Drosophila melanogaster: one gene and its partners. The gene in region 3 interacts genetically with the main gene of each other region. Each region holds a gene or a part of one and is shown on either strand. Other genes may lie near its edges.

What was found.
Region 1: of RhoGEF2 (region 3) and plum, changing one suppresses a phenotype caused by changing the other (phenotypic suppression), as found in Drosophila melanogaster (one study listed by BioGRID).
Region 2: of RhoGEF2 (region 3) and fog, changing one suppresses a phenotype caused by changing the other (phenotypic suppression), as found in Drosophila melanogaster (one study listed by BioGRID).
Region 4: of RhoGEF2 (region 3) and Rok, changing one suppresses a phenotype caused by changing the other (phenotypic suppression), as found in Drosophila melanogaster (one study listed by BioGRID).

What each region holds. Positions count from the first base shown.
Region 1 is NT_033777.3:26,531,873-26,536,883, forward strand, and holds the start of plum (plum), read right to left. Parts: upstream 3,346-5,011; 5' UTR 2,852-3,345; intron 551-2,851; 5' UTR 353-550; coding exon 241-352; intron 1-240.
Region 2 is NC_004354.4:22,851,995-22,857,163, forward strand, and holds the start of fog (folded gastrulation), read right to left. Parts: upstream 3,201-5,169; 5' UTR 3,049-3,200; exon of another isoform or gene 1,813-3,048; intron 1-1,812. UniProt on the Drosophila melanogaster protein: Coordinates cell shape changes during formation of the ventral furrow and invagination of the posterior midgut primordium, by inducing apical constriction of cells in spatially and temporally defined manners.
Region 3 is NT_033778.4:17,025,402-17,030,391, reverse strand, and holds the start of RhoGEF2 (Rho guanine nucleotide exchange factor 2), read right to left. Parts: upstream 3,203-4,990; 5' UTR 3,053-3,202; intron 1,720-3,052; 5' UTR 1,397-1,719; coding exon 1,371-1,396; intron 1-1,370. Other genes in the region: Dark (Death-associated APAF1-related killer), read right to left, coding at 3,964-4,647, 4,712-4,858, 4,914-4,990.
Region 4 is NC_004354.4:16,634,208-16,639,345, reverse strand, and holds the start of Rok (Rho kinase), read left to right. Parts: upstream 1-1,931; 5' UTR 1,932-2,918; intron 2,919-2,984; 5' UTR 2,985-3,062; coding exon 3,063-3,124; intron 3,125-3,678; exon of another isoform or gene 3,679-3,771; coding exon of another isoform or gene 3,772-3,806; intron 3,807-5,138. Other genes in the region: RpS19a (ribosomal protein S19a), read right to left, coding at 541-940, 1,043-1,113.

The DNA of each region.
Region 1 (5,011 bases), on a different chromosome or scaffold from region 3:
CAAATTTGCCAAGTTCAAAAACTAGCAGCTGCTTTGGTAGATTGCTTTAAGAGTACTGGAAAAACATAACTATTTTACCTTATAATAAAAATACCTTAGTTTAAAAATTGACTTGTAACAACTGGGATTATATTATTATAAATCTACTGAAAACACTCAAATTTGGTCGGAATAACTGCCGAGTTGGCATCACAACTGCGAATTTAGAGTGTGAAATATGGCAAAGGTAACCGCACTCACCTGTTGTCGACTCCTTGGTTAGTGTCAGTCGTCCATTGTGGTCGGTTAGCAGCAGCAGTAGGATCTCAATCAATTGAATCACAAAGAGGCGACGATTGTAAAACAAACACATTGCAATCCGACTTTTTTGTTGTCACCGCTTTCCGGCTGGGGCTCCTTTTTTAGGCCCAACCGCGATTGTAATTATAACTATATAGATTTTTTTTTATCTTTTTGCGATTATTGGAACGTTAGCGAGCTCTTCACGCTCTTCCAGTCAATACGATTAGCAAGAGCATTTTCTCATTTCTCTGTTCACCGCGATGTTTGGCTTCGGAAATAAATGAAAATCGGGGGAGAAATCAAATCACCGAATTTTATTCACTAATCTAATGCACACACCCATGCACACAAACACACACACACGCCCACGCACACAAAAGTATGCTAATACATTTGGGCACAGGCATAAATATTTTACGCGTGCAACAGTGCGTATACTCAATTTGTTAAATAGTCCGCACAAACATGCCGCCAACACGATGGCCCGGCGCCAATGTCATCAGTTTGTCACCGCTCAAATCGGAAAATTGATGAGGTGGTGGGGCATTAACCCGTGGCTTGGGGTGGAAAACAATCCCAAGGGACAGTGAAAATACATACCAAGATTGGAAAAAGCCATATTCAAAATTAACAAATTTTCATTTCTTGTTCATCTTTTGTTCGCGTCGCTTTTTTATCAAATTAAAAGAAGCTCTGTATGAGAAACTAAAAGTTTCAAGTTATTATTAATATTACTGATTTACTTGATTACACTTTTAAAGCATAAAGTTTTGAGAAAGTTTTTCCAAAAGCCAACCGAAGTTTTTTCCCCTTGGTTTCTATTGTTTTACGAACTGCAATTATTTCCGTTCTAAACTTTTTTTGTTCGCCAGTTAGATATTATATTCTGTTATTACACCAAGAACTATAAGTTCTTAGCAATGAGTATAGAATTGCATTGAAAATTACCTTTTTTAACATAGATATTTCTGCTGCTATCAGTTAGCATAATAATATCAGCATTAACAAAGGTATCCTTCATCCTGCGTTTTTCCCCTCTATCCTTTCTTTTTACTTCCTCTGACATCCTTTTATCGGCCCTAAATTTGTACTGGCTTTTTGTGTGTGCTCGGATTTAAGCTGCGATAAATTCGCAGATTCTACGGCTCAGATTCTTCATCTGCCATTACGCACGCATCTCCATAATAATGATAGTAGTCATAATAATAATAATAATGATGATGATGGCGGTGATGATGCCACATAAAAGGCGGCGGAGCCCATTTCAATTTCAATTCGACAAAAGGCGCGTGTATCTGCAAGATACATTTCTATCTCAAGAGCGCAAAATTGCGCGGCAAACCAAAGCTCGCAAAAAGCAAAAAATCGCATATATGAATGCTAAAATATATTTCTGGCTTACTATTATATTGTTGATGCCTTTGCTGTTCGAACTATGAAAGGCTTTGCAAAAAGTAACGCACATCGCAGACAAACTTTTATCCGTACGACAATTGAAAAAAAACAATTCGATAAATCAAAAGAAAAATGAAAAAAAACGCTTGTGCGAATTTGAGCTACGGTTTTTTGTTTTGAATACACAGAAAGTAATTGGATTGCGTTTAAATTTGTAATAGCATTTAGATTTCTAATTGAATTTTATTAAAAATTCGTTTGTTTTATTAACCAAGCAAGCAAATTAAACGAATAAAATAAAAAATGCTTCTGGTTGAAAAAATATTGGAAATACTAGCTTATTTCTTCTGTGCATTGTGGCGTTCATTTGTTTACAGCCCTGCGATATAAAACTTTGTCTCGTTTACATCTTTTTCGAAATATATTGTATAATATTCGGTTTTGGTTTAAGATAAAACCCAAAACTGGAAGATGAGCAAAAAGCCGGCTGAGCAAAGGAAATCACATTGGGGTAGTTGTTGTTATATAAAACAAATTGTACGCGAATTTTTGCACAAAAACACACAGATACACGACACACACACACAAAGAGCCGCAAAATCCGGCGCTCAGGAAAACAGAGAGCGAAAGAGCGGATGAAGAGGACGAAGGGGAGGAAGATGAGGAAACAAACGAATTTCAGCAACGACGCAAATTTCGATTTCCTCGAAATTTCTACCTTCTATTATGCTCGTTCCTCTCCCGACTGCTGCTTCTTCTTGCGCTTCTTGTTTGGGCATCATATACTTTTTTGTTTGCAAAAATAAAAAATAAGGAGAAGAAAACAGTGAAGAAGAAGCAACAGCAGCGGCGGCAGCAGCAGCGCAGCTTACTAAGCTTTTGAGATGCCGCCGTTTTGCTCCTTGTTTTTTGTTTTTGCTACGCTCTTGCTGCTTTGCCTTTGCTTTTTCGGGTATTTTGCCTTTGGGTTTTTTTGCTTTTTTGCGTTTTTGCCTTTTGCGTGAACAAGAAGCAGCAGCAACTACTGTACTTGGAGTTTTTCCTTTGCTACATACATTCGTATATCCTTTTTGCCGCTTTGTTTGTTTGGAATTTCTCAATTTTCAAATACTGATGCCACCCACACGCACACACACAAACGTACACGCACTCCCACTCGCACACATACACGCACTTTACGCTTTTTTGTGCTTTGCTGCGTCTCCAGTTTCTTGTTATTTCGCCCTTTGTTGTATTATGTCATAATTTATTTGTCGCCCAGGACTAAACAATGCCGGAATTTTGCACAATTGATAAAGCCAATGAATCACATTTCGTTTTCATTAGCCCCCACTCGTGCTGTCTTGCTCTTTCTGGCTGCACCGGCTCCTCTCTTTTACTTTTTACTTTTTACTTTTCTGCTACCTTTGTTGTCTTTTTTGCATTTCCGCTTTACGTTTGTGTTTCGCTCGCACTCACGCACTCAAACACACGCAAACACAGACGCACACATAGCTGCAATTACTGTTGTTGCCCAGCTTGTTTAACTTTTGTTTGTTGTTTGAAACACACACAAGCACGCAGCGTCGTCGAAAATATCGCGAATTTACAAGCGCCGGCAAAAATTTACTAGAGAAATCCGCCCGCAATTACACAGAGCGACGCAGCAAACACGTCCAAACTGTTCGCCGAGCTTTGGCGCACTGCTTAACTTATGCTTATGAATGGAACGGCGGCGACAAGCAGCCCGTTCGGCGAAAGAACGAGAAAGCGATAGTGATACTCCCCCAATTTCTCTTTCTCCTCGGCGCTATGTTAACCGATTCGGGAAAGGCGCCGATTTGAATGTAATACGATTGCGATCAGATGGAAAATTCGCATCTGTTTTAAAACGTAAAAGATAAAAACTACCAGCTTCTACTTCTTCTTTACGATGTTGTCTTGCATTGCAAAAATCGAACTCCACAGCTTTAATCATTTAGGCTTCACTTAAACTTAGCACTAAAAATAATGCTCAATATCTTCTTAAACACCAAATAGACATGAAGGAATATCAAATACACATTCCTATGACAAAAAAAAATGTTAAACAATTTCAGCTCTTTTTAACATCAAGATACAAAGAACAAAACCTTTGGGTTTAAATCGGTTAACATTGCTTAACATTAAGCGGTTGTAAGAGAGCAGCAACTTAAGAGAATTTGTACACTCTTTTATCTTGCTCAATTTGAGCTTTGAAGAGAGCCGGCAACTTTTGTTTTTGTTTGCGACGCCAAAATTTCAATGTCGACGTCGCAGTCGGCAGCGTAAGCTTTTCGAGCAGCGAAAAACAAACAAAACGGAATGCGAGTAAAGCAAAAAAGAGACACAAAAAAAATGCAGTTTGTTGAATCTAGTACTAAGATTTAAATTTATTACAGACAAACGTAACTTTTATTTTGCACTAGAAAAATATTACATATTATATTATTATCTTGTGTTATATTATATTATAATTACTTACCGAACACCAAGTACTTTACAGTATTCAAGTTATTTTCCTTTTTTAACGTAATTAATGAAAATATTCATTATCTTTTAATCTTAATTTAAAATATTAACTTAAACTTCATCTCAAATAGGAAGGCGCCGATTAAAAATCGGAAATAGAGATGGCAAATAAAACGAATGGTTGTTGTCTTTACTAAAGGTGAGTTGCGCAGTTGCTAGTAGTGTGACCAGACGGCGATTCACAAAATTTCTCCAAAGTGTGAACGTATGCGAAGATACTTCGTTGATGGAAGAGGAGTGTCACCTTTTTCTTGGTTTTTCCAGAGCGTCATACTGCAAAGAGTTGTTGTTGCGCGCGGGCGGACGACGAGAAAAAATTGTAAACGCGGATGAAAACAACGGTTGATTTTCACCCAACGCTCGTGATTTTCGACCGCTTTTGAGTGTGGAAGCGAAAAAACCGCCTGTTTTTTAACTGCATGAGTGCGTGCGAGTGTGTGTGTGTGCGTGCGTGTACGTGTTCGTAATTTAGACGTGCTGCTCGCTGCGATTTTCGTTGTTCTGTGTGGCCCCTGTAACTACAGTAAATACTCGTGCAAATAACGCGTCAAAGCGTGCGAAAAACGCAGGGAGAACGCCAGCTAGCGCCTTCTCTTTCACTTTTTCGCTGATTCCTCGCCGCCTTAGACTAGCATTTTGTTGTTGCGCAGCCTGCGCGTATATGTGTGCGTTCGTCCGTGTGTGTGCGCTTGTCCTGCGTGTGCGTGTGTGTGTAAATTCCAAAACATACGCCGCTGCACAGTGGCACAAAAACGAGAGAAACGTAACGTAACGAAATAGCTATTTGGATTCCCGGCTTTCGGGC
Region 2 (5,169 bases), on a different chromosome or scaffold from region 3:
CTTTTACGCCAAATGTACATATGTATTGTATTTAGTACTTCCAGGTACGAACTTTTTCGGAACTTCTTACATCAGCATTAGCCGATTTCTTGGAATCCCCTTGAAAGCATTGTACAGAATGGGAATAGGATAGATTCCAGAAATTCCAGAACAAATAATCCCCAAGTTTTTCGTGTAAGTGGAGGTCGTATATTGCCATCGGTTTTTGGTTTTCGGCTTTTGGGCCCTCAGGCACGTACTGCCCTATGGATCGACCGTTTAATGCTGTTTGCCCCGATGCAGCTGAATCAATTTTACCACGGCTGCATAGCCATGGGCACAAGGGACTCAAGAGCCTCGAAAATAATTTCGTGATAGATTCGTTTTTTTTTTCGGTTGCTGATTTCATTCCACGTTCCCGGGGGGGTATCAACATAGGCATAAATATATGTATGTCCGGAAGACAATAGCTGTATAGATAATTTGAATCGGATAATTATTTTAGGAGTTATGGCTGAGTGACGGCTATCTGATAGTCGAGGCAATCGAAGCGAACTCTATCTATATAGTATTCATACATATGTATGTATACGTACCATCACAATACCCGTAATTTAATTTTCGTGCCGTCTGTAACACTTTCTATTGCTGATAATGACTTTTGGAGCATTTTGCGGGCGTTTTGGAACTTGCACAAAAAACATTTTGTAATTCATGTCTGCGCAAAAACAAATAAAAGAACGAGTCCACGGAAAAATTTACTAAATACACACATAAATATGGCCATTTTTCTCAGTGTGCATGTCAACAATTTCCCAGTCACTTGAGTGCTTGGCCACCCTTCCAGCTCTTTATTTTTTGGACAGTCGGTTAAATGCAATTAACTTGGTTACACTTTCATGCGGGAATAAAATTTTGGTACCGAAATTCGTTCATGGTTTGCTTTTAGTTTTCCATTTTAAGCCGCAATATATTTTGCGTCCAGCGGAAGTGATCACTTTGCCACATTGGCGCTGATAGTCACCGCGTGACTTCATCGGCATTATCATCATCATGTCCATTACCAGCGAACTCATGGAACTCACCTCTGTAAACATAATCGTGAACTCACTTGTTTGGCAAATGTTTGAGAGCGAACCCCGATAAGACACCTAATGCGCCTCGAATTGGTGTAGTTCGATTGTTTTGGTTGCATGATGACACTAAGGTCAGTTGTCATCCATTGTGGTCACGTCGTGAAATTGGTTTTTGCAATAACTAGTAAGGCGCTTGACCAGATTGAGAAATGTGCACGTGTCTATTGTTGTTCAAGAAGTGATTAAAAATGCTTTTAATATTTATCAGTTCGCTTTTAGGGAAACTATACCTACTCGTCAGTCAATGGCATGAGCCCAAACATATTCATGCTGAATCCATTTGGACGCGTAATAGCTACTTCGAAAAGCATTAGACTAAATACCTCCCGATTTGGTCATTTAAGATCTCAAGAGCCAGCTCTGTATCTGCAGAATGGCTAGATTTCCCACATCCGCAGAGTCAGAAGGTCAGCATCGGGCGTGAGACCGGAAAAACCGCTAGGATAAGCCCACGAAAACGAGACATCCTGATACCCAGGAAATAATGAAGCAGGATAATAAGGAGTACCAGAAACGAGATACTGTGGGTTTCGAATCTGTTATCCAAATTTTCTGGGCTGTATACATTTCGCTGGCTTCCTTTCAATTTAATTTGCATTAAGAAACAAGTTTCGCAGCGCAAAGTAATAATGGGTTATTCGATGGGCATTATAAAACACACATAAACGTTAAATAAAAATACATACAATCCACTTACTTTTGCTGTTTTATATCCCAAAACAAAGATGCCGAAGAAGGTGCGCTGCTTTTGCTTTTAGTTGCTTCTTCTTTGTCTTTTCCCCACTTTTGTTTTTCTTTGATTGTGGGTTAATATCAAGTTGTTGTAAAAATAAATTAGCATACAAATAAATAATAAACACCACAAATTGGCTCGTTTTGAATTTCGATTTGATGGCGGTTGAGCTTAATTTTTTGTTTGGTTTATTAAGAATTTTATATGTATGTGTTGATTGGCTTGCTGGTAAGAGCCAGTTCAAACTTGTAAGATACTAAATTTTTTTCAGTTGCTTAAAGTTTTCCCGTCGCTGGCTGCCTTTCATTTTTCGCTGCAGTTGTTAGGCTCATTAGGACAACACGGTTTTGTATTCGATTTTGTTGATTTATCTATTTTATTTCTCCAACTGTATCACATGTATTATCATATAATTCACAAAGACTTTTGCGCACACGAAAAAAAAACACACTACAACAAATCGACTTCAAAAGGTATCAATGGTAACATCCTGTTTGGGAAAAACGAAAGAGAATTATTTTGTATGCAACATTGAGTGCAATTCAAAAATAATGCCTACATGTGCACCGAAAATAGCTTAAGATTGTGAAATATTGTAGATATTTAATATATATCATTGTGAAATAACGTTAACTAAATATTTATAACTCAAAGCTAAGCTTCAAATTATGGTTGGTACTAGTATTTTAAAGTTGATCTCGGGTTTTTCAGTAGGCGAATCTATATGTACGGCGCACATATATTTTTAAGATTATAAATTATCGGACGCCTGTTGCTGTAAAGACAACAACAAGTACAACGACAACTGTTTCACAATGTAGTATAAACACAAAAGCGTAGTATATTTATACATGCCTCGTAGTATGTATTTTATTTTATTCTACTTTATTTTCACTTCGTTCGTTCTCTCTTTCCTGTTTCCTTTTACAGATAAGCATTCGAATGTTTTTTTGTTTTGTTTTAGTTTAGGTTCTTGTTCAAATTCAAATTAAAATCGGGTCAAATTTAGATAAAATAAAAGCACACGAAGAAACGTTTTTAAGGGACACAATCAGAAGATATTTATGTATATTACAAATTTATATTCCCATGTTACTATTTGCTTTTAAGTTATATGCGCCACGTTTTGACCGATTGCACATGTCTCTTAAATATCGAATTTATGTTACAAATTCAATCGAAATGATAGTGTTACTTTACTTTTTTCATTTGCTACTATTGTTGGTGATTTTTATCCGCTTTCTTCCCCCCTCATTTCTTTTAAGTTTTTTTTTTTGAAGAGACTGTAGCGGGCGGACAAGAGAACACGCACCGTTACCGATCACGTTCACAGTTGTTTTTTGAATGAGAAGCGGCTTCGAAACGTGTCGTCGCAGGCGTCGACGTCGGCGCCGCAGTCGCTGCGACAGACAGAGAGTGGTCAGATATAAATATACATGTACTGTATATATGTATATGTACGCGCGTTCGACAATGATCTTAGCCGAGAGAAAAGAGCCGATGCGCGGCATTAGGGAACTCTTTTCAAAGAGCGCGCTGAAGCCGCGCTCAGTTTTCATTGCTCTTAAGTTGCAACTGCACAAAGAAATCATTTTGCTGTTTTGATCGTGCATTGTTTTGAGTATGTATGTCATTAATTTAAAACAAGAGAGAACGCTATAGTCGAGTTCCCCGACTATCAGATACCCGTTATTCAGCAAGTCCAAGTGGGACGAGACTTTTCAACATTTTTCACGAACATTAGTAGAAATTGGTGGGAAAAAATTAATTTTAATTCTCTAAGGTCTGGGCAGGATATATTGGGCGGTTTAAGATAGCATATCTTCGGCATATCTATAAATTGGAAAAACAACTGGTTTAATACAAAAAAATTAAATCATTTCTCAAAAGTGTGGGAGTGTCAGTTTTGGTGCATTAGAGTGGGAATTTTTATCATATCGATAAAAATTAACAAGAGTCATAGAAATATGGAAAACTATCAAAACATTATGCAAAGGTGTGAGCGTGGCAGTTTTGGGAGGTTTGTGGGCGTGGCATCATGGGGAACAAACTTTCGCTGCGTCTAATGTCTCTAGAATCTAGCTTTTATATTTTCTGATATCTCGACGTTCATACGGACGGACAGACAGACGGACATGACCAGTTCGACTGGTCCTGATTGATCCTGATCACGATACATATATACACATGTACATATACAAGTACATGTACATATACATATACATATATGGTTGAAAACGCTTCCTTCTCCCTGTTACATTCTTTTTAACGAATCTAGTATACCCTTTTACTCTTCTCGACAATTCTCTTTTCTTTTTTGTTTTTCCCATACATGATTAACATTTTCTTCTGTTATGTTCTCTTGTTCTCAATTAGGGAGATGCTCTCTTTTGGCCGCCTGCAAAGGATGATTAATGATGTTCTCTGCTTTTAATTTTTTCTGAATGCTGCTAGTTGTTCAATTTAAAAAGGCAGTACGGCTCTTCCTGGTAATTTTCCGTTGGCTGTTTGTTTCTATTTACATATGTACTATGTATGTATGTATGTACCTTATTAAATAAAATTTTTATTTTCAATTTTGTCCGAGTTCGGTAGACCCCTACAGACACTACTAACATTCGGAAATATGTAAGGCTAACTGGAGTGGCCGGCTTAATAAAAATATCTCGGAAAAGCTGGAAAGTCGGAGATGGATTTCCTCGAAACCTAATTGAAGTTGATAGCAGTCATGGTTTTGTTCCCCGTCATCATCATTGGGCACTGAATCGCAAATCGCACTTCTTGGTAATTTTAGCCGCCACTTGAGCCTGTGCCGGTGTTTAGGCCAACATAATGGCCAATTAAGGCCACTTTGTCGTTTACAGCGTTTCAATTTCGATTTGATTAAGGTGAATTCCCTTTATTTTTTATGCAGTGATTCCGGCTAAAATTCATGAATAAAAGCAATTTTATGTAGATGATATAGATCATTACTTTAAAAAATAAATTTACAGAGTTAGCTTAGGGAACTAAAAATGACCACAACTAAACTAAGGGTATTTTGCCAAGTGTACGAATTGGGATCATCCCCATTTCCCTATTCTCTCATTCTTCGCCGTCTTCCCTTCGTATGGACTTATCGATGCGATGGTCAAGTGTGCGGGGCTCGTCTTCGGTCATTCGCCCAAAAACTAAAAATCGAAGAAACAAAAGTTAAACAAATAAGAAAAAATACCGAAATGTGTTTTCGTACTTTTCCTTCTTCTTGCGCAGATGCTGCGTTGTTGTGAAGCAAAAGTGATTTAAGTGAAATCAATTAAAAAATTTCGTTTTCTCTCGATT
Region 3 (4,990 bases):
CACTTTAATTGCCGTTTATTTGATCATTTTGCATGTGAATGGAATGGATAAACATACATATGTACATATGTATGTCCCAGTATACAGTGTGTACCACCTTCGGACCCGTTCATATACCGGAATATAATAAAAGCTCATTTCCCGCCTGGTGAATTCATCATTATGATGAGTTATTTCCATAACAGCCGGGCGGGCAGGCAAGACCTCCAAAAATCAAATGTTTACATTAACTTTTTTGACTGATTGGCCCATGTCAATAGCATGTCTCTCCGTTTGATCCAAGTGAATTCTCTTTCTGTCTAAATTTAGCTGCCTAATTTTGAGGAAATCTTGCTGCAGCCCGTTGACGGGCTGGCATAAAACCTGTTAAGGCCCACAAATCAGACGACAACACCAGTGGTGGTGAGCTGTTAATAGATTTAAATCATTTTGCATAGGTATATTATACAATTCGTGGTTAAGACACCACCACCAAATGCACACACAAGCATGCTTAGAAAGTCACTGGTTTCGCCAATCTATTTGGGCTAAAACTTCCCTAGGTGGCAATAAAAGAAATAAATGGTAAAATGTGAAAACTGGCCGCTCCCTAAGTTGGTGAGCGTATATATGTATTAAGTCATCCGTTTGGCAGTCGAAACCGCACAAAAACAACCCCAAGCTTGGGGGAACTATTGGTATAAACAATCAGCAAACACAGTGCGTTTCAGAACTGTGAGACGGCGCAAAGTTTCACCTCGTCAATTGGCTATTTTCAAACAACGTTTGCTGACTAATCACGGGTCAAATGAATTAGTAATTGCTTACAAAAGTTGATCGGTGATCTAATGCACAGTTAAATCATCTGTAACTGGCTTAAGAACTATTTAAAATGTAGTAAAATACCTATTATTTTAATATAATTTCGAGGATTCTTAAAGGCTGCTACACTATTTAGGCAACGATCTTACATAAGTTGCTAGTTCTTAAGGGTAGCCCTAATATGTTAATATAAGCACTTAGGTCAAGAATGTGTGAAAGCTTCTTTTATGAGTAAAAATTCTTCCGATTTGATATAATAAGAGCTTTAACTTTTTGTGTGACTAATATCTTCTTCTTCTTCGAGATTTCATTAAAATTATTCAATTCCCACAACCAGTTGACACTGCCTTTGAAATTTGCATTAAACCTGCCTCTATGATGTATATTTGGTATATTTATTAGTATGTGTATAATCGACTGTTGCTTGCGAATAAGAACGAAAATAACAATTATTAAGTCTGTCGAGGACAAAAGATAAATTCTTATCGCAATGCGAGCAATTTAACCAGTGGGAAAGTGGAAAGTGGGGAAATTGTAGCGCATGGAGACAGTGGAGCAGTTGAACTCACCGTTTTTTGATTGATGGGTCATCCATAGGGTTTCCTGCGATGGCTTTTGCTGGCTGCTGTGCGGGTGCGAAGATGCAAATTCAAAGGCATGCGTAAGCCACTCGAAGTCGGAGGATCCCGTGGAGTATTGTTCGCATTGGTGTGGGGCCAGTCACCAGAAGTGGTTGCGGAATGCTTTCGGCAGCTATTTTTAAATTAGCTAGTAAAAACGGGCCGAAATGAATCCAGAAGTGATTTAATTGCCTCGATTTTCGTTGCTTTAGTTCTGTTTTATGATTTTTTGGTTGCACTATTCCAATGGGTTTTGATATGTGTATATATATTTTGCACTGCTACTTTTCACTTAAACCTGTGGGCACACAAAATTCGTTTGAAGACATTTCGGGCATTAATGCATGTACATTAAAATATTTGTTTGCATTTTTTTTTTTTTTTTTTGAGTGGGTGGTGAAGGGTTATGGGGGATGGGGCGGATCGGAGAGGGTTCAAATGCAGGCAGCAATCTCCTTGCAATTTCATTGTTTTTATTCCAACACAGATAACTGAACAGCACACCCACACACTCACGCGCAAGCCATACATATTCCAATGCCTATGGCTCTCTCGCCGCGCTCGTTCTCTCTCACTCTCTCTCGTAATCTCTTGCTTTCTCTGTCACTCGCAGGCAGCAGTTGTTGCTGGTTTTATTGTTGTGCTTTTTGCTGACTAGTTTTCACGAAACATTTAATGGATGACGACTTGGGGTTGGGGGAAAACAAGTTTTTGGCCGAAAAATTGAAATACTAATGCTATACTAATGGGTCAGAGCGGACACACAAGCAGGAAAATTCCAGCGATCCTTTCCAGATTTGCGTATTTTCCATTAGAACAGCTGATTGTTCAATTAATCGCTTGTGTTCAATTAGCGTGACGAAAACCCAAAAAGAAAAACAAAGACTCCCTCTCTTTCTTTGAATTTGCACTGATCTCACTGTTTGTTTACCTAAATAAATCAATTCTTGCAGTTTCACTCCTTTTTAATTAAACGCAAATATTTAATTGAATAAATATGTATACACACAAACTGGACTGACTGACTGACTGAGTGTGTGTGGGGGTGCGAGTGCGATCATCGCCGCAAACGCAAAGGCAAAACAATATGGCTGCCGCAAGCCACTTGTTAGAGAAAAACAAGGGATTCGAAGCCTCGGAAAGCGTCCAGTTGTTTATCATTTACTCATTAATTCGATCGCTTCCCGCTCCGTCAAGCCGCACATCCCTAAAATCGAATTAAAGCCATGTACTGCAGTTCAAGAGTTCAGCACTCGACGCACTCACACACGCGCGTCGCTCACTAACACTCACTGCCACCGATGGGCGAGTGTGGAAAATAAATACACATATGCCGTCATACATTCGATGCCCCTATAAGCGCGCTGCGTCTGTCTGCGTGCGATGGGTTAGAGATCATTTTTAGACAAATTTGCGTACAATATTTCCTGGCAGTTGCAAGCTCGCGATTTTGCCATTGACGAGCGTGCACAAATGCACTTAAATATGTATGAATTTTACGCCAGTGTGTGGGTGCGCGGAATGCATGTAGTCACTTTTTTTATTTATTGCTTTTGTTGCTGCAGTGAGCTCACGCGTAGCGAGTTGCGCATCATTCTTTCTCTGCTTCGCCACTTTCGCCACGCACTTACTTAAAACGCACTCGTATTGTATTCCATAAAGACACGAAAAATGTTTTTATTTTTTTCACTTATCGCGCCATCAACACGCACACGACGTTCTTTTCTTTTCAGCTTGAAAATTGGAATGAAATGACGAGAAAGAGCGCATATCTGCCAGTGTTGAAAAGGGCTTTAGTTCGGTACGGAATTCAGTACCTAAAACTGGTACAAACAAGGTACCTTGCCGATGATACAAGTTAGCTATTGGTTTTTATTCATTGTTTTAAATGCTTCTTAATATATTTCGTACGTGTGTTCATTAAGGCAATGTGTGTAAATCTTAGCTTATAAAAATTATAGCCCAAACTTGACTTGAACTTTTTAATAAAACCAAAATGCAAACATTGAGGCCAAAGCCTTTTTATTAATTTAAGTCAGCTTAGAAGTAGACGAGCCACAATCCAGATACGTACCTATTTATTGGACCGCAACACTGATATCCATACACGAACTTAGCAGCACTGTCCCGGGACCAATGCTTTTGCAACACTTGATCTGGCGTGCCTGGCAGAAATCAAAACAAACGCACAGCACAACCACCCACACAGACATGCATGCATACATACATACGGACAGCACAAAGAGCAGACAACAAAACCGCGTTCTGTGTTTTTCGTGAAATGTCGTTTATTTGGTGGCGGTTACTCGCGTTGACAAACAAAGGCAGGGCAACGCACCCACCGCCCTCTGAGATATCATACTTGGTTAGCTGCATACATTCGCAAATGTAAGCGCCAACAACTAATGTTTGCCTAGGACAAATCCGGACCCAGGAGGTAGAAGAGCAAAACCATCAGGTAGTAGAGCAGTAATCCTATAAATGCCATGTTGTAGTTTGGACTTTCCTGTTTCGTGCGCCGCCTAGGGACGCACTTCTGGCGTCATGAACTGGCCTCCTCCAGAATTGGTGTCGCCCTCGCCACTCCGCCGTTCTTCTCCAGAACCAGGTTGCCAACTACATCAGCACCCTCGCTATCCGAATCCTGCATAAGTGGGCTGTCGAGAATTCGAAGATTTTTTAAGTCTTCATACTGATTGGCAATATCCAACGTAACTGGGTCAGGTGGAGGTTGAAGTCTGCTTAACTCCAGCAACTGCAGATGGTAGTAGACACCCTCGTCATCTATGGCATAAAAGTGGGAGAAGTGGGCGTCTGTGAAGAACTGACGAGCTTCATTTCCCACAAATTTAACGCAGGCCAGGAGTTCCGGACGGATGGCATTGCCGCGCTTATTCCGCCACAGTTCCGCAGTCCCTCGGTTCACCGGATGAAACTCGTCGGCAACGAATGTCACATCTACATCGATGTCCGCTGCAATGGGCGCCGCATCCACAGCATCCTCTTGTGTAACACTGTGCTGCTTATGGCGTCGACTGCGCCGCCGTTTTTGCTCGCGCTCCAATTGATTGTTGCGCATGTGCGTCACATTCCAGAAGCACAGCTGCTCCGCGCAGCTGATCAGGAGCAACTTACATGGCGAGAATAGCAATTGCCGGATGCAGTGCTCGTGGACCTCTTCAATGCTGTAGATCAGTTGAACTTTTCTGTTTTCAACGGCAAAGAGCTGTTGGGAAATGTATAATTAGCAGGAAATAATTATGAAACGAATTTGTAAGACGTATGTATACCTCTAAAGTGCCATTTTCGAAACCCATAGCCAACATGGTACCATCATCCGTGGCTACCAAATAGCTGATCTTGGCCTTCTGGGCGATCTCTTCTTCGCAAATCTGTTCGTACCTTAGTTGGTTACAGCTGAATATTAAACGGAATACCTGTCGTTGGAAATAATTGATAATTGTTTAATGATATTATGTTTAGCAAACCCACATCGATGATGTTGTTTTCGTAGGCCAGAAAGAGAAGACTGTTCTTTAGATCAAAGCCGACAATGTATTCCTCCGAAT
Region 4 (5,138 bases), on a different chromosome or scaffold from region 3:
TTTAAATCTAAAGATTAACCTTACCAAGTCCGCATGACTAAATTTCAATGAACTATGCTGTCGCACATGAGCAGTGTGTATAGATATAAAATGTTTATTTCTGCAAGGCAAGCAACCACTTAGCACATGGATTGTTAATGAAACTATGCACCTTCTAAGGGCAGAATACCAAACTGATACTGATAGTTTAGCAATAGAAGGAAAGCCATTAACAATGTGAAGGCTCGGTAAAAGTATAAATTGGCTAGTTAATTACGCCAAATGTAGCTGTTGTCCACATTGTTCTTCGCACATGCATATTACTAATATGAGCAGCATCCTGATAAATCTACCACTTTTTTACATTGCCAAGAGGAGCTATTCTATTCCCCTGTTTACAGACCGCATAAAAAATGTTTCTAGCATTCGAAGAACGCATGTTTCGTAGACTTTTACAAATTGTGGTTGGTTTTATTTTCTCATCTCTCTCGTGCAAACAAAAAGCGCTTACAATAGAAGTCTAAAAATGCGTTTTTTAGAATTCGAAGGGGCGCCGTGTGATTACTTGGAAATAACAATGGGCCCGGTCTGCTTGGCGGCATCGCGCTGCTTGAACACGATCTGGTTAGCAATACGGTCCAGATCACGCTGTCCAATGGAGCTCAGTTTGCGACCACCGTCCGGGTGCTTCTCGACCAAACGGGCGTGCTCCAAGGCCTGCAGAGCCTTGCGGGCAGCACCGTCGGCGGCGCGGCAGAAGTGCGAGGGGTGGACACCGTTGCGCTTGCGTCCGCCGTAGATCTTGGTGATCGAACCGACTCCAGCGGGACTGCGGTGGTACAGATGGCGCAGGATCGAGGCGCAACGCACATAGAACCAGTCGGGATCGTAGGGCGCCAGCTCCTTGAATTTGGCGGTCTTGACGATGTCCATCTGGTCGGGCACCTTCAACTTGCCAGTCCTATTTGGTTTTTTTCGTGTTTTTTTTTTTTTTTTTGGGGGGGGATAAACAAATGGATTGTGAGGTTATGTGGTGGAAATATACTTGATGTTCAGTACTCACTTCTTCAAGAAGACGGCGACCGCCTTGGTAACCGCGTGCTGGTCAATATCCTTCACTGTGACGCCTGGCATCTGCGGGCAGAACGGGAAAAACAAATGGGGAATCTATTACAATGCTGCCAAAAACACGTTGTCGCGATTTCCACGATTCTCTCACAGACACACTCTTTCTCTCTCTCTCTCTCCCTCGCACACACACATGCACGGGCACAACAAAAAATTGCCAGCCGAAGTTTTAACCCGAAAAAAGCTGTCCTTTCGTGTTTACGGCCGGCCCATTGTGTCATTTGCCACTTGGCGTGGGCTCTTTCATTGAATTTCACCCATTCAAAACATAAAAAAAAAGATAATTCACTTGAAAAGAATTCGTGCACAACCTTTCTCGTTAAAGTCAACCGGAAAAAAGAACAAGGCGCGTGAAGTTGGCTGCGGTTAATAGTGCTGGGCCTGCCACCAGCAATAGTATCGATTAATCGAATGCCGGCGCGGCGAACTATCGAAGATTCGGTTAATGATACTCTAACACGTATGTGTTCAATTTATAGTTATTTTTAAAAATATTTAAATTAATGAGCACACCAAGATTATATTATATATTACTTGGCATTTGAAGACCTTGTCTAAACATGCATTTTCGTATTAGTATATTTTCAATGTGGGCAAAGAATGCGTAGTACAATTCATATTTTGCTGTATCACTTTATTCATAAATAACTGCTTTTTATTTTGTTAGCAACCGATTTACATAACTATTCATGAAGCTAGTTTCTGAGTCTATCGAATAACAAGCGGCCCATCGATGACGCAGACAACCGATATTGCCGCAGCACCATCGCCATTTGGAGCGCCACCTGTTGGCCCTGGTATATTCTGGTATTTTCATCGGCGCCTAGTGACTTCGATACTTCAACTTCGATATGTAAACACAATTGCCATCTCTACCAGCACCGAGCCGAAATAAAATAAGTGCAACGCGCAGCGTCTAATTGAAACCAAATTGATCTATTTGGCCGCGGCCGAAACTGGACATTCGCAATTTGGGCGGTCAGCCGCCCCCGTCCCGTCCCGCCCCCCCGTGCGTTTCCCCCGCTGCCGACGGACAGTACGTCGGTGTGACGCACATCGGTGTGTGCGCGCGTGTGTGTGTGTCTGTGAAGCGCCTTGTTATTGTTGTTGTAGCGCTTGCTACGTTCGCCGTTCGCAGTGCACTGGTGTGCGTGCGCTCGTGTAAGTGTGTGTGCACAGAGGTATCGTTGGAATTAACAAAAAAATAGAAGAAGGAAAAAGCTACTTGATTGGGGCACACAAAAACCAACAACTCAAAAGGCCGAGAAACAAAAGCCCACCTTCAACACCACCAATCCGCCGCATTCGACACATTTTGGCCAGGTTTTTGGCCACAAGTGTTGACACAACTGTTGCATGCCAAGCGGACTGCGGACAATAATCCCCGTTCCCTTGTTTACCCAACAATCCATCGTGGTCAACGTGATCATCCTGGTCATTACGATCCCATTTGCACAGGAAGTAAACTAGATTGATAGCATTTTCCGGGAATCGATAGCACACCTGCCTGCCGTGTGGGAAACGCACCTGGGAACGCCCGGGTGCTCGGCTGCGTCCGCATGTGGCGTTGGCGGCACTCCACCAAAAGAAGCCAGCGCCAAGTGCCCAATCCCCATACCCATACCCATTCCCATTCCCATCCCCATCCGTATTCGATTGGCGTTCAGTGGCAGCAGTTAGCCAGAAATCCAACGAAACACTCGTGACCTCATCGCCAGCAAACAGCAAACAACTAGCGCTTGACGCGTGCCTCCTCTCCTCATTACTATTAGCATTCCCAGCATAGACAGACGTCCAACAACTCCTGGCAGGTAAATGTACAATATAAATATGTGTACCCCGAAGAGAACTCTGTTAAACCCTTGCTTCGCTTTCAGTTGCAGCACAGGAGCAGCAGTTGACCAACAGGAAGCAGCAGCTGGAGCAGCAGTATCAGCTTGTTATCTTGCATTTGCATGCCAGCTGGACGAGAAACTGTGACCAAGCAGCGCAGCATGGATGTGGAACGAAGGCGCCGGTGAGTGCACGAGATGGCGGCCCAAAAGCGACTGCTCCACTCAATTAATTGTCACCTGAATGGCAGCATCAGCAGCAGCAGCAGCAGCAATAGCAATAGTAGAAGTCGAAGTAGAAGTAGAAGTGGCAGTAGCCATCGCACAGATACGTGCGATTTGTACAGACAGATTTGTGATTTGTTCAACTGACCAAGCCAAGCAGGCAGCTAAGCAGCTAACCAGCTAACCACCTAACCAGCCAACTAGCCAGCTAGCACAATTCAGCGCAAGCCAAACGGGCCTGGCCAAAACAAATCAAAAAGTAATACACCGCTGGCAAACACCTTCCATATCTCATGTTCAAAGCGACAGCGCGGCAATCAAATTGACAAGCGAGTGAACAAAACGGGGGGCGACTTTATAATAAATTTGCCATTTTCGCATTAAAATTTGTAACCAAACCAAAAAGAAAAAAAACCAAAACGAAAACGAAAAGCGAACTAAAACGAACGCACAGTGGCTGATGCCGCCGTTTGTCAGTTGCAGGCGTCGCGTTGCATCGGCTGCATCGTTTGCATCGTTTTGGGCCAAAAAGGTAGAATAGATAGCCAGCACCACGCCGGTTTCTTCCATTGGACAGTAGACGGTATAGGGCATGGGGACATGGCTAATGCCCGCCGCCCTCCATTCGTGCGAGCCGGAACGGTACGTTGTTCTCATCTCCACGCTCCTAGCATTCAGCATTCAGCATCCAGCTCTCAGCTACCAGTTGTCGTCCTGGTTCGCTTGCATTCCAAATTCCGAGAATACAATTTGCCCAGCAATTCCGCAGCGTCGAGTATGCATATAAATACTTAAATTTAATTACCCATCCCCACTCGGTATCTGCTGTAAGCAGTCATAAGCGAAGCAAACGTTAAGGCATTTGCGTACTAACAATGGCCAATTGCAATGCGCATTTGGTTATAAAAGCCGAACAGTTCCTTTGTGCTGCCTGGGCAAATAATTAATTAGAATTAATAAGGTGTGAAGAGATTCTGCAACGCAGATGCAGTACCACTCTCTATCTCTGTGTGTTGAATGTGAAGCGTTCAATTTGTAAAAACTGGCAGATCGAATTTGGCGACGTTGTATAAATTAAGTTGAAAATTATATTGTCTATAGGTGACGATAATGTTGTCGTCGTCGTCGTCATCGTCGTCGTTGGTTATTATGTATTATTATTGCCGTTGTTGTTGTCAATAATGTTGCTCATAATTATGTTGTTGTTGCCATTTTGCCGCTTTGGCCAAATCGAAATCAACAGCGGCAACGAAAATTCATCGCAGCATTTTTGAAAATTCCACTTTCCCAAGTTGTTTGCTTTTGTGTATGGTGTGTGTGTGTGCTGCTATTACCCGCTGCTTGAGCGTTTTGTTTTTGGCTTTTCTGTCATGCCGTAAGTGGCGATGATGAAATCACAACAATTCAAACACCTTTTAGTATCAATTTTTAGCGCCGACTGTCATCGCAGTTTGCCTGCTCCTGCATCTGAGTCTGACTTTTGCTTGCTGGGCACCGAAATTCGATTCCCAATCGCTGACAGACTGACTCCGCATCTCCGACATCTTGCATCTTGCTAATTGCACATAAATCTTGGTTACGGGAATTAGTTTTTGACCGGAAAATGCCTTTAAATTTAGAAATTCAGAACCAACGCACTGGCAGGCCAAATTTAATTGTTTCATTCTTTGCCGAATATGTAGTTTAATTTGCCGAGAAATTCCATTTGAAAGAGCGCTTTTCCCATGCTCTAGTAACCTCGTATGCAAATACCTAATTGTTATAATTAATTTTCTATATATTTACATTCGCAAGATTTTATTTTCCATGATTTATGTACATACATACACTCTCCGAAGAATGAACCTTACCTTTTTGTTTACATTCAAAAGTAAATAAGCAATTTGTATATTCTTAATATCATTTATAAAGAATGAAACGCTTGGTGAATCAGAGCAGTGTTTTTGTTTTTTGAGATTTTAAAATCCGCACTTA